2 linked regions of the Arabidopsis thaliana genome follow. The protein of the gene in region 2 purifies or fractionates together with the protein of the main gene of each other region. This does not show direct contact. Each region holds a gene or a part of one and is shown on either strand. Other genes may lie near its edges.

Region 1 (3,924 bases), on a different chromosome or scaffold from region 2:
AAACCTAAATGTAATGAGCTTTCTACTCATCATGCATTGTATTTATCAGCCATTTTGAATGCAAATGTGATGTTTGTCCTATTGATTTTGTAACACAGTTCTAATTGTGTTAGAACATGCTTTAACCAGTGCATAGATTGTTAGAACCATGCATGGTCCCAACAACAAAAAACACTTATGCATCGGTTTGCTTCAAGCAACGAGATGAATAATAAACTAGCCTTACAAATACGAGTTAACCCCAAAAACTACAGAGATCCTTCTCTATCAACTAATCATGCATTGCCAAACGACGAGACTGCACTTACAGTGCTCATACCGAAACAATAAAAGTGAACCTAACAAATCTGACATTACTCTAGAAAGTCTTCTGCAGAAACCTAATTGATTAAACTGAGACCGAGGCAGAAACAAAGAACAGATTCATTTGACTTTCTTTATGATGTCCTCGATGACTTCTTCCATATCAAGTGCCTTCATTGGTGCAAATGGACGTTTCATCTCCTACAAAATGAGATAAACATAATCTACATCTTTAGGTCTATGTTAAGATTGAAAGGCAAAAACATATTCATGATTTCTACTCACAATAACACATTTCTCGTAATGAATAAGGATCAAGTTGATTTTCATTCTCATATGCATATAGAGCAAGTGGTGTTATGAGAATTAGTAATAACAATAAACCTTACTCAAACTGAACAAATCATATGCAGAAGCGAGACAAATTGAGATTTGTTTTTATTAGAATGAAAGTTTTTACCAAAAGACTGATGAATGTTTGGCCACCTTCCTCCCGGATCTCAAAGCAACCCCGCCTTGGCTGTTCAAGCACATCAAAAGAAAGAATTAGTAATTTAGAAGAAAATCTTATCAAGTATAATGTGAAAAGTATGCTCTAACGCATTAGTCAAAACGGAGCATTCATGACGATATATTCATCTGCAGTAAAAGCATTACCTTTTCAGGATTAAGAGACACCGTGACGCCAGGAACAGCTCCCTCCAAAGCTTCCTTCACCTGAATAGCTCTTGTCTTGAAAGCATTGCATTGTTTACTTCAATAACATCACAAAACAAAACAAAAAAGAACTCTTGTGAGACATAAGTATAGAAGCAAATTCCATTTATAGAATGAACACGTCCATTACGCATTGCAATTCAGCTAAAGCAAGACAAGAACACAAACAGAAAGCAGATAGTCAAGTCCTCTTCACAAATGCGAGCAAAACATAAACCACTAATCACTCAAACCAAAAACTTATGCAGAATCAAGATGAAAACCTAACACATTGTTCCACCCTAGCAAATAAACCTTAGCTGCTACACACGGACACACAAGTCTCAACACATACCCCAAAGTTGTAGGCTTTTAGATTCAATTTCAAAGAAAAAAACCTAAATTTTTGCTCTTATGATTCCAAACATTATCTCTAAAGAAATCGAAAACATTTACGCAAAAATTACCAGTGTTCTATAACAATCTTGGTTCTCGTAGGGTCCTCAACCTCTGGCTCTTCCTTCTCAACCTCCTCCTCAACGGCTTCCTCTGGCTCTTCAACTTCCTCTTCCTTCTTTCCCTTCTTGGCTCTCCCAGTCTCAATCGCTGAATTCTTCCTCTTAGCCTTCTTCGTCGCCGGCTTAGTGGCGGATCCAGCCGCTTTAGCACCGTTTTGTTGAGTCTGACTTCGAGTTCGACTGTCCATGCTCCGAGTCACTCTAGACGACGCCAACGTCGTTAAAGGTTTCGCCTTTTCTTCTCCATCTGCCTTACTCTTCTTCGGCGGCATTGTACGGACAGCAACAGGGTTTCGTCTTAACAATCTTCTTCTCCTTCTTCTCCGTCTCTGTCTTACCGCTCTTTCTTACTTTTTTGTTGTTTGATATTCCCTTTTGTGTTTGCTTTTTTCTTACCTTGGAAAAGTAATTCGAATAAACGGTAGAGATTTAACCTACAAGGGTTATTAAAAGGTTGACCGTTAGATTGCAGGGGTTATGATTATGTATTCTCAATGCCCAATAGTGCGCTACTGCTGTATCACACGACACATCCACGTGCTTCGAAACGCTGTGGTGTTTTGCCTCTAAAACGCACAACTACTTACCGTTTTGATTGGATAGAATGATTTTATTTTAATTCCACTTCTCTTTTTTACCTACATTATTTTGATTCCAATTCATTTGGCTTTTTCTAAACTCAAAATAAACTGAAACACTTTATCATATTTATTAAGAAATATTGATTTTCTGATACATAAAGTAAGATAAAAGTCTGTATATCCTTCTAGCTTTTTAGCATTTTGGTCACTGCGGACAATTTTAAGAGATTTTACTAAAAGTATCGTCCAATCCTTTTGTAGGTTTTTATGACTCAAGCCATCAATCCAAATTTCCAATATATGATGATAGTTGAAGTATTTGGATGTAGTAATGCTAAAATGTAATATGTTAATAAGTCGCATACTCATGGTGAACAAACATTCATCCATTATGGTGACATTTTTGTTTGTTTGTTTGTATAATAAAATGCAGGGGGAAGCTTTTGCAACAATGTGTGCATGTTGGAGAAATCTCAGTTAGCACTTTCACAACCAAGCTCCATGGGAAGATCTTTTGGACCTAAATATTTTAGAACTTGTTCATCACATCACAACCATCATCTTCAGTCTTCACTGTTACTCTATTTGTCTGTCTTTCACATATTAGCAAGTTGGTGAAATCTTGATTGGTTGATCCTGATCCCATAACAAATTACACTAATCTCACACAACGACGAACCCTCTTACAAGGTTGGTAGCATGCTAAACGTATGGAAAAATTTGGGAATCTTTTCTAAAAAAATAAGAAACTTGTATATATTTTTTTTCAACACAAACTTGTATTCTAAATCTACATAACGATGTAAAAACAAGTTGAATTTGTGGAATCGCTAACTATCAATGACGGGATCCAAAACCGGTTATTCAACATCGTCTTGTAAATTTATTATCCAAATTTCCATTGTTTAAAATCTGGTCTTGTAAATTTATTATCCAAACATAACCCAACATCGTCCATTATTATCCAACTCTGTCTAAACACTGAAACAAGAAACCGAACATGATCCATATGTCTAGAGATTTTTGAACTGTGGGTACCAAAGAAGGATCAATGTTCTAATCTCAAGTCTCAATCTAAAGTTTGAAGTCGTGGGTACCATTTTTCATCAACCAAAACATAAGCCAATCCAATCCAATCTTTTGTCTAAAGGATTGGTTACTTCGAACCTCAAGTCTCTGACTATTTTAAGCCGTGGGTAACTTGATCTTTGTCTAAAGACTGACACAAGAGACCGAACATGATCCATATGTCTAAAGATATTCAAGCCGTGGGTACCAAAAGAATCAATGTTGGAATCTCAAGTTTCAGTTCACTCGAAAGACTAAAGTTTAAAGCCGTGGGTACCATTTTCCTTGCACCAAACATAACCAAATCCAATCTTTTTGACAAAAGATTGGTTACTTTCGAACCTCGAGTCTCTGTCTAAAGACATAATGTTTTAAGCCGTGGGTATTCTTTTGTCTAAAGATTGAAACAAGACACCGAACATGATCCATATGTGTAGTGAGTTTCAAGTCGAGGGTACCAAGAAGGATCAACAGAAACTTGTATTATAAATCTACTTAACGATGGGAAGACAAGCTGAATTTTTGGAATCGCTAACGATCAATGATGGGATCCAAAATCCGGTTAGTTTAACATCGTCTTGTAAGTTTATTATCCAAATTTCCATTGTTTAAAATTATAAGTCTCTGTCTAATGACTTATAATGTTTTAAGCCGTGAGTGTTTCTTTATCTAAAGATTGAAACAAGAAACTGAACATGATCCATTTGTCTAGTGATTTTCAAGCCGTGTGTACCAAGAAGGATCAATGTCGAATCTCA
Region 2 (3,924 bases):
TTATAATTGTTAGGAATAGCCAGTATCAAATCATCAACCCTCTCTAAGCTACAGCCAGCAGCTTAGAAACCAATTTTTTCTTACGGGCAAATTCAAAATGTTCTCAAAGCCAAAGAAACCAAGCGACGAGCTTATAATAGAGATGGTGTCTCAATATTCAGACTTCAGAAATCAACACCCGGCATATATTATGGCCGTTACGCATTCATTATTCAAAACGAGACAAGTTTTTTTAACAATTTGGCCAAAACAACAAAGGCTGTGTTTTTTTTAAGGTTACAGTAGCAACTTCCATAAAAGTAGCAGAGCAGAGATGTATCTGTCAGTTCTTCCTTCCCTCTGATAAAATAATGTGGTATCCGTGCCTGCAATTACCACGCAATTACATTCATCATCCACTAATAAAGATAAATTCAGATAGAAGAGAAGAAAGAAGAGATCGGATTTGGACATACGTTGATTTGAAGGGTGCACTGGTGACTCCAACAGGTGTATTAAAGGCGACATCTTGGAATGGACCTGCCATCTTTCCTCGAGGGAACCATCCAAGATCTCCTCCTTTTTTCCCTGATGGACACTCAGAGTACTCTGCTGCAATCTGAGATCGTTCCACACACAAATCGTGTTAAGATTCTCCACAATTCATAACACACATCTATCGAAATATATCTAACCGAAAACTGAAACTTGTAGATGTCGGGAAAGCAATGAACTATGAGGTATTGAATGTGGGTTTTCTATAAGCGGTTACGTACATATCACAGTTAGAGATGGAATAAACAATACTATCTGAACTATCTTAGATTGATGTTTTGATCTCATAGACAAAAAAGAAGAAGGATATTCACCTTTGCAAACTCAGCAGGAGGAACCTTGTCTCCGTTGCTCAACCAACCATCCTGCAACTTTTTGTAGGCCTCGTTGATCTTTCCTTGCTTCTCGCACAAAACATGTCTTGCTGAAACAAAAACAATTGGAGATTTGACTTTAATGCTATTGTACTAATACAAAAGTTGTAAGAGAACTTTTGGATCCATATTTGTTTACCAGTATTTTTTACTCATGAACAAAGGTAACAGGCACAGAAACGAATCCAAAAAACACACCTTTAACATAAGTGCATGTCCCAAGACCATCTGCAGCTTTTCCTGCTTTTCCTTTACCCTTGGAGGGAGCTTCTTCACTACCACTTGCTTGCTTTCCTTTACCCTTCCCACCAGCTTTTGCGTCCTTCCCCATCGAATTAAAACTATAAAAAACAACCACGATTAAAACTTTATTATCACCATCAGATTACAGGGTTTTAACTTTTAACATCACCACACACATCTTGTAAACCCTAAACCCTGAAATAAATCCAGTGAACTTTTCAATGCAGATTTAAAGCCAAATGCAAGTGACTTGGAATCTACTACACTGGAAGCAGATATACAAATTTGTAAACTTAAAAAAATGCTTCAACCCGAAACTTTTGGGGAATTTAATCAAACACTTAGTAAGCTAAGATCCATCAAATTCAGAATGATCAAAACACAAAACAAGATTACAGATTAAAAAATGAGTAATTTAACATTTGGACAATCGAAACGCAAAGAGCCCAATATAGAACCGGTGCGTCCATGCACAAGATAACATCGCAAATGGAAAAACAATTATCTAGACGGAAGATTTAGCGCAAATAACATAAACCCCAGTTTTCAATTTCTAGCCTAAAAATCAGAGAATTGACCAACAGTTTACAAAACCAATCGGAGAAAACACAAAAGGTTACTATTAAAAGTGGAATGAAATATTTGATTGAGAAGCCAAGAAATTTACAAAGTCGAGAACTTTACCTTGAGATTCTTCTTCTATCAGATTGAACGATCGAGCAGAGAGTGAGAGAGAGAAAGAGAGATTTGTTTGCTGAAAAGTCTTGTGGGGATTAGAGATGGAACATTAAACCCATTCATTAATATGGGCTTGGCCATTCATGGTTGGGCTATTAGGCCCAATAAGATACTCTTCTTATCAAATATTTTCTATTTTTCGTAAATTTAATCGCGCCAAAAAGAAAATAAATATTTTTCCTATTTTCGTAAATGTCTGTCTCTGCTTTTCATTTGTAGAGCTAGCTGTCTTTCAGTATCAGAGTGAAATTTTAGGGTTTTACAAAAGGGAGGTTTTTTGCTTCACTCTTTGCTTATTTGGGTTCTGGGTTTTGATTATTTCTACAAAGTAACCACATTTTTCACTTTCCGGAGATGGAGCTGCAAACGATGAAGATAACGAAAGATTGTGTAGTTGAAGTCAGTTCTGAAGAGGAAGGGTTCGAAGGAGCTTGGTTCAGAGCTGTTTTAGAGGAAAACCCAGGGAACTCATCTCGCAGAAAGCTTCGTGTTCGTTACTCGACGTTGCTGGACATGGACGGTTCGTCTCCCTTAATCGAACACATCGAACAGAGATTCATTAGACCTGTACCTCCGGAGGAGAATCAACAAAAAGACGTCGTTTTGGAGGAAGGTTTGCTGGTGGATGCTGACCACAAAGACGGGTGGTGGACTGGTGTTGTCGTAAAGAAAATGGAGGACGACAACTATTTGGTTTATTTTGATTTGCCTCCTGACATTATACAGTTCGAGAGAAAGCAGTTGCGGACTCATCTTATCTGGACCGGTGGGACTTGGATCCAACCAGAAATTGAGGTATGAGGTTGATTTATTCGAAGTGGGTCTTTGCTTGAATGTTTGAAACTGTCTCTTTGTTGCTCTCTTTCAAAAAGGTTGAAGCTTTAATCCGTTTTGAGTCTGGTTGCGTGTTATGGTTAAAGGTTTCAGCTTTAGTTTCAAAAGGCTGAAACTTTTCTCTATTTTTCGTTTGTTGAGTGTTATAGTTCCATGGTTAAGAGATCCTTTCTTAAATCCGGTGTTGTTTTTGCTTGTAGCTGTCAAAATTTTGTTGCTTTCTTTGTTCTTGTTATATGCTATGATTAAAATTATTAAAGGTTTAGTTTTGGTTGTGAATGCTTAAAAGTAGACTTTAATTTGTTGTCTTTGAAGGAATCGAATAAGTCCATGTTTAGCCCCGGGACAATGGTGGAAGTGTTTTCTGCCAAAGAAGCTGTGTGGTCCCCTGCAATGGTAGTCAAAGAGACTGATGTGGATGATAAGAAGAAATTCATTGTCAAGGACTGTAATAGGTACCTGAGCTGCAATGGTGATGAGGCGAGACCAACCAACATTGTTAATTCGCGCCGTGTTAGACCCATACCGCCTCCTTCTTCAGTTGACAAGTATGCATTGTTGGAATCTGTAGAGACGTTTTCTGGTTTGGGATGGCATAAAGGGCAAGTGAGGAAAATTCTCTCTGAGAACCGTTACACGGTTAGATTAGAGGCTACACAGCAGGAATCTACAATAAGACACTCAGATCTTAGGCCTTTCATGGTGTGGGAAGATGGAGTTTGGTATAACGATCTAAAGGTATCAATTACACTAGTTTCAATCAACATTCTGACAGTTTTGGTTTATTGGTATGAATGCTTTATGTTTGTTTCTATTTTCAGCAAAAACCCATAAAAGAAACTCCTCCAACCATCTTGAAAAGGAAGCCAATGCGCTCTTGTTCTGCTGCTAAGTCAATGACTCCTACGAGTGCCACAAAGCATTTGAGAAGTTTCCTGAATTCTAAGGAAATTAGCGAGACACCCACTAAAGCAAAATTTGTATCTGTAAGTTAGACACTCACTAGTTTCCTTTGCTTTCGCCATGTCTTTGATTATGCTTAACATATCTGCGTTACCTGAAATTAGGCCACTAGAGAATTAGGAAAAAACAAGGCTGATGCTGTGATGAATGACAAAACTCATCTGCTCATAACCCCTCAAGAAACATCAATAGGTAAACATAATCTTCCTTAACTCATTGTGTTTAGTTTCTACATCGC

What was found.
Region 1: the proteins of AT1G26550 (region 2) and AT4G31360 fractionate together in Arabidopsis thaliana (co-fractionation; one large-scale study listed by BioGRID). This does not show direct contact.

What each region holds. Positions count from the first base shown.
Region 1 is NC_003075.7:15,219,810-15,223,733, reverse strand, and holds AT4G31360 (selenium binding protein), read right to left. Parts: upstream 1,892-3,924; 5' UTR 1,790-1,891; coding exon 1,467-1,789; intron 1,058-1,466; coding exon 961-1,057; intron 824-960; coding exon 764-823; intron 505-763; coding exon 424-504; 3' UTR 107-423; downstream 1-106. Other genes in the region: AT4G31355 (uncharacterized protein), read left to right, coding at 3,912-3,924.
Region 2 is NC_003070.9:9,169,115-9,173,038, reverse strand, and holds AT1G26550 (FKBP-like peptidyl-prolyl cis-trans isomerase family protein), read right to left. Parts: upstream 1,922-3,924; 5' UTR 1,836-1,921; intron 1,250-1,835; 5' UTR 1,240-1,249; coding exon 1,107-1,239; intron 959-1,106; coding exon 849-958; intron 599-848; coding exon 456-598; intron 366-455; coding exon 323-365; 3' UTR 6-322; downstream 1-5. Other genes in the region: AT1G26540 (Agenet domain-containing protein), read left to right, coding at 2,244-2,684, 3,039-3,461, 3,545-3,709, 3,791-3,878.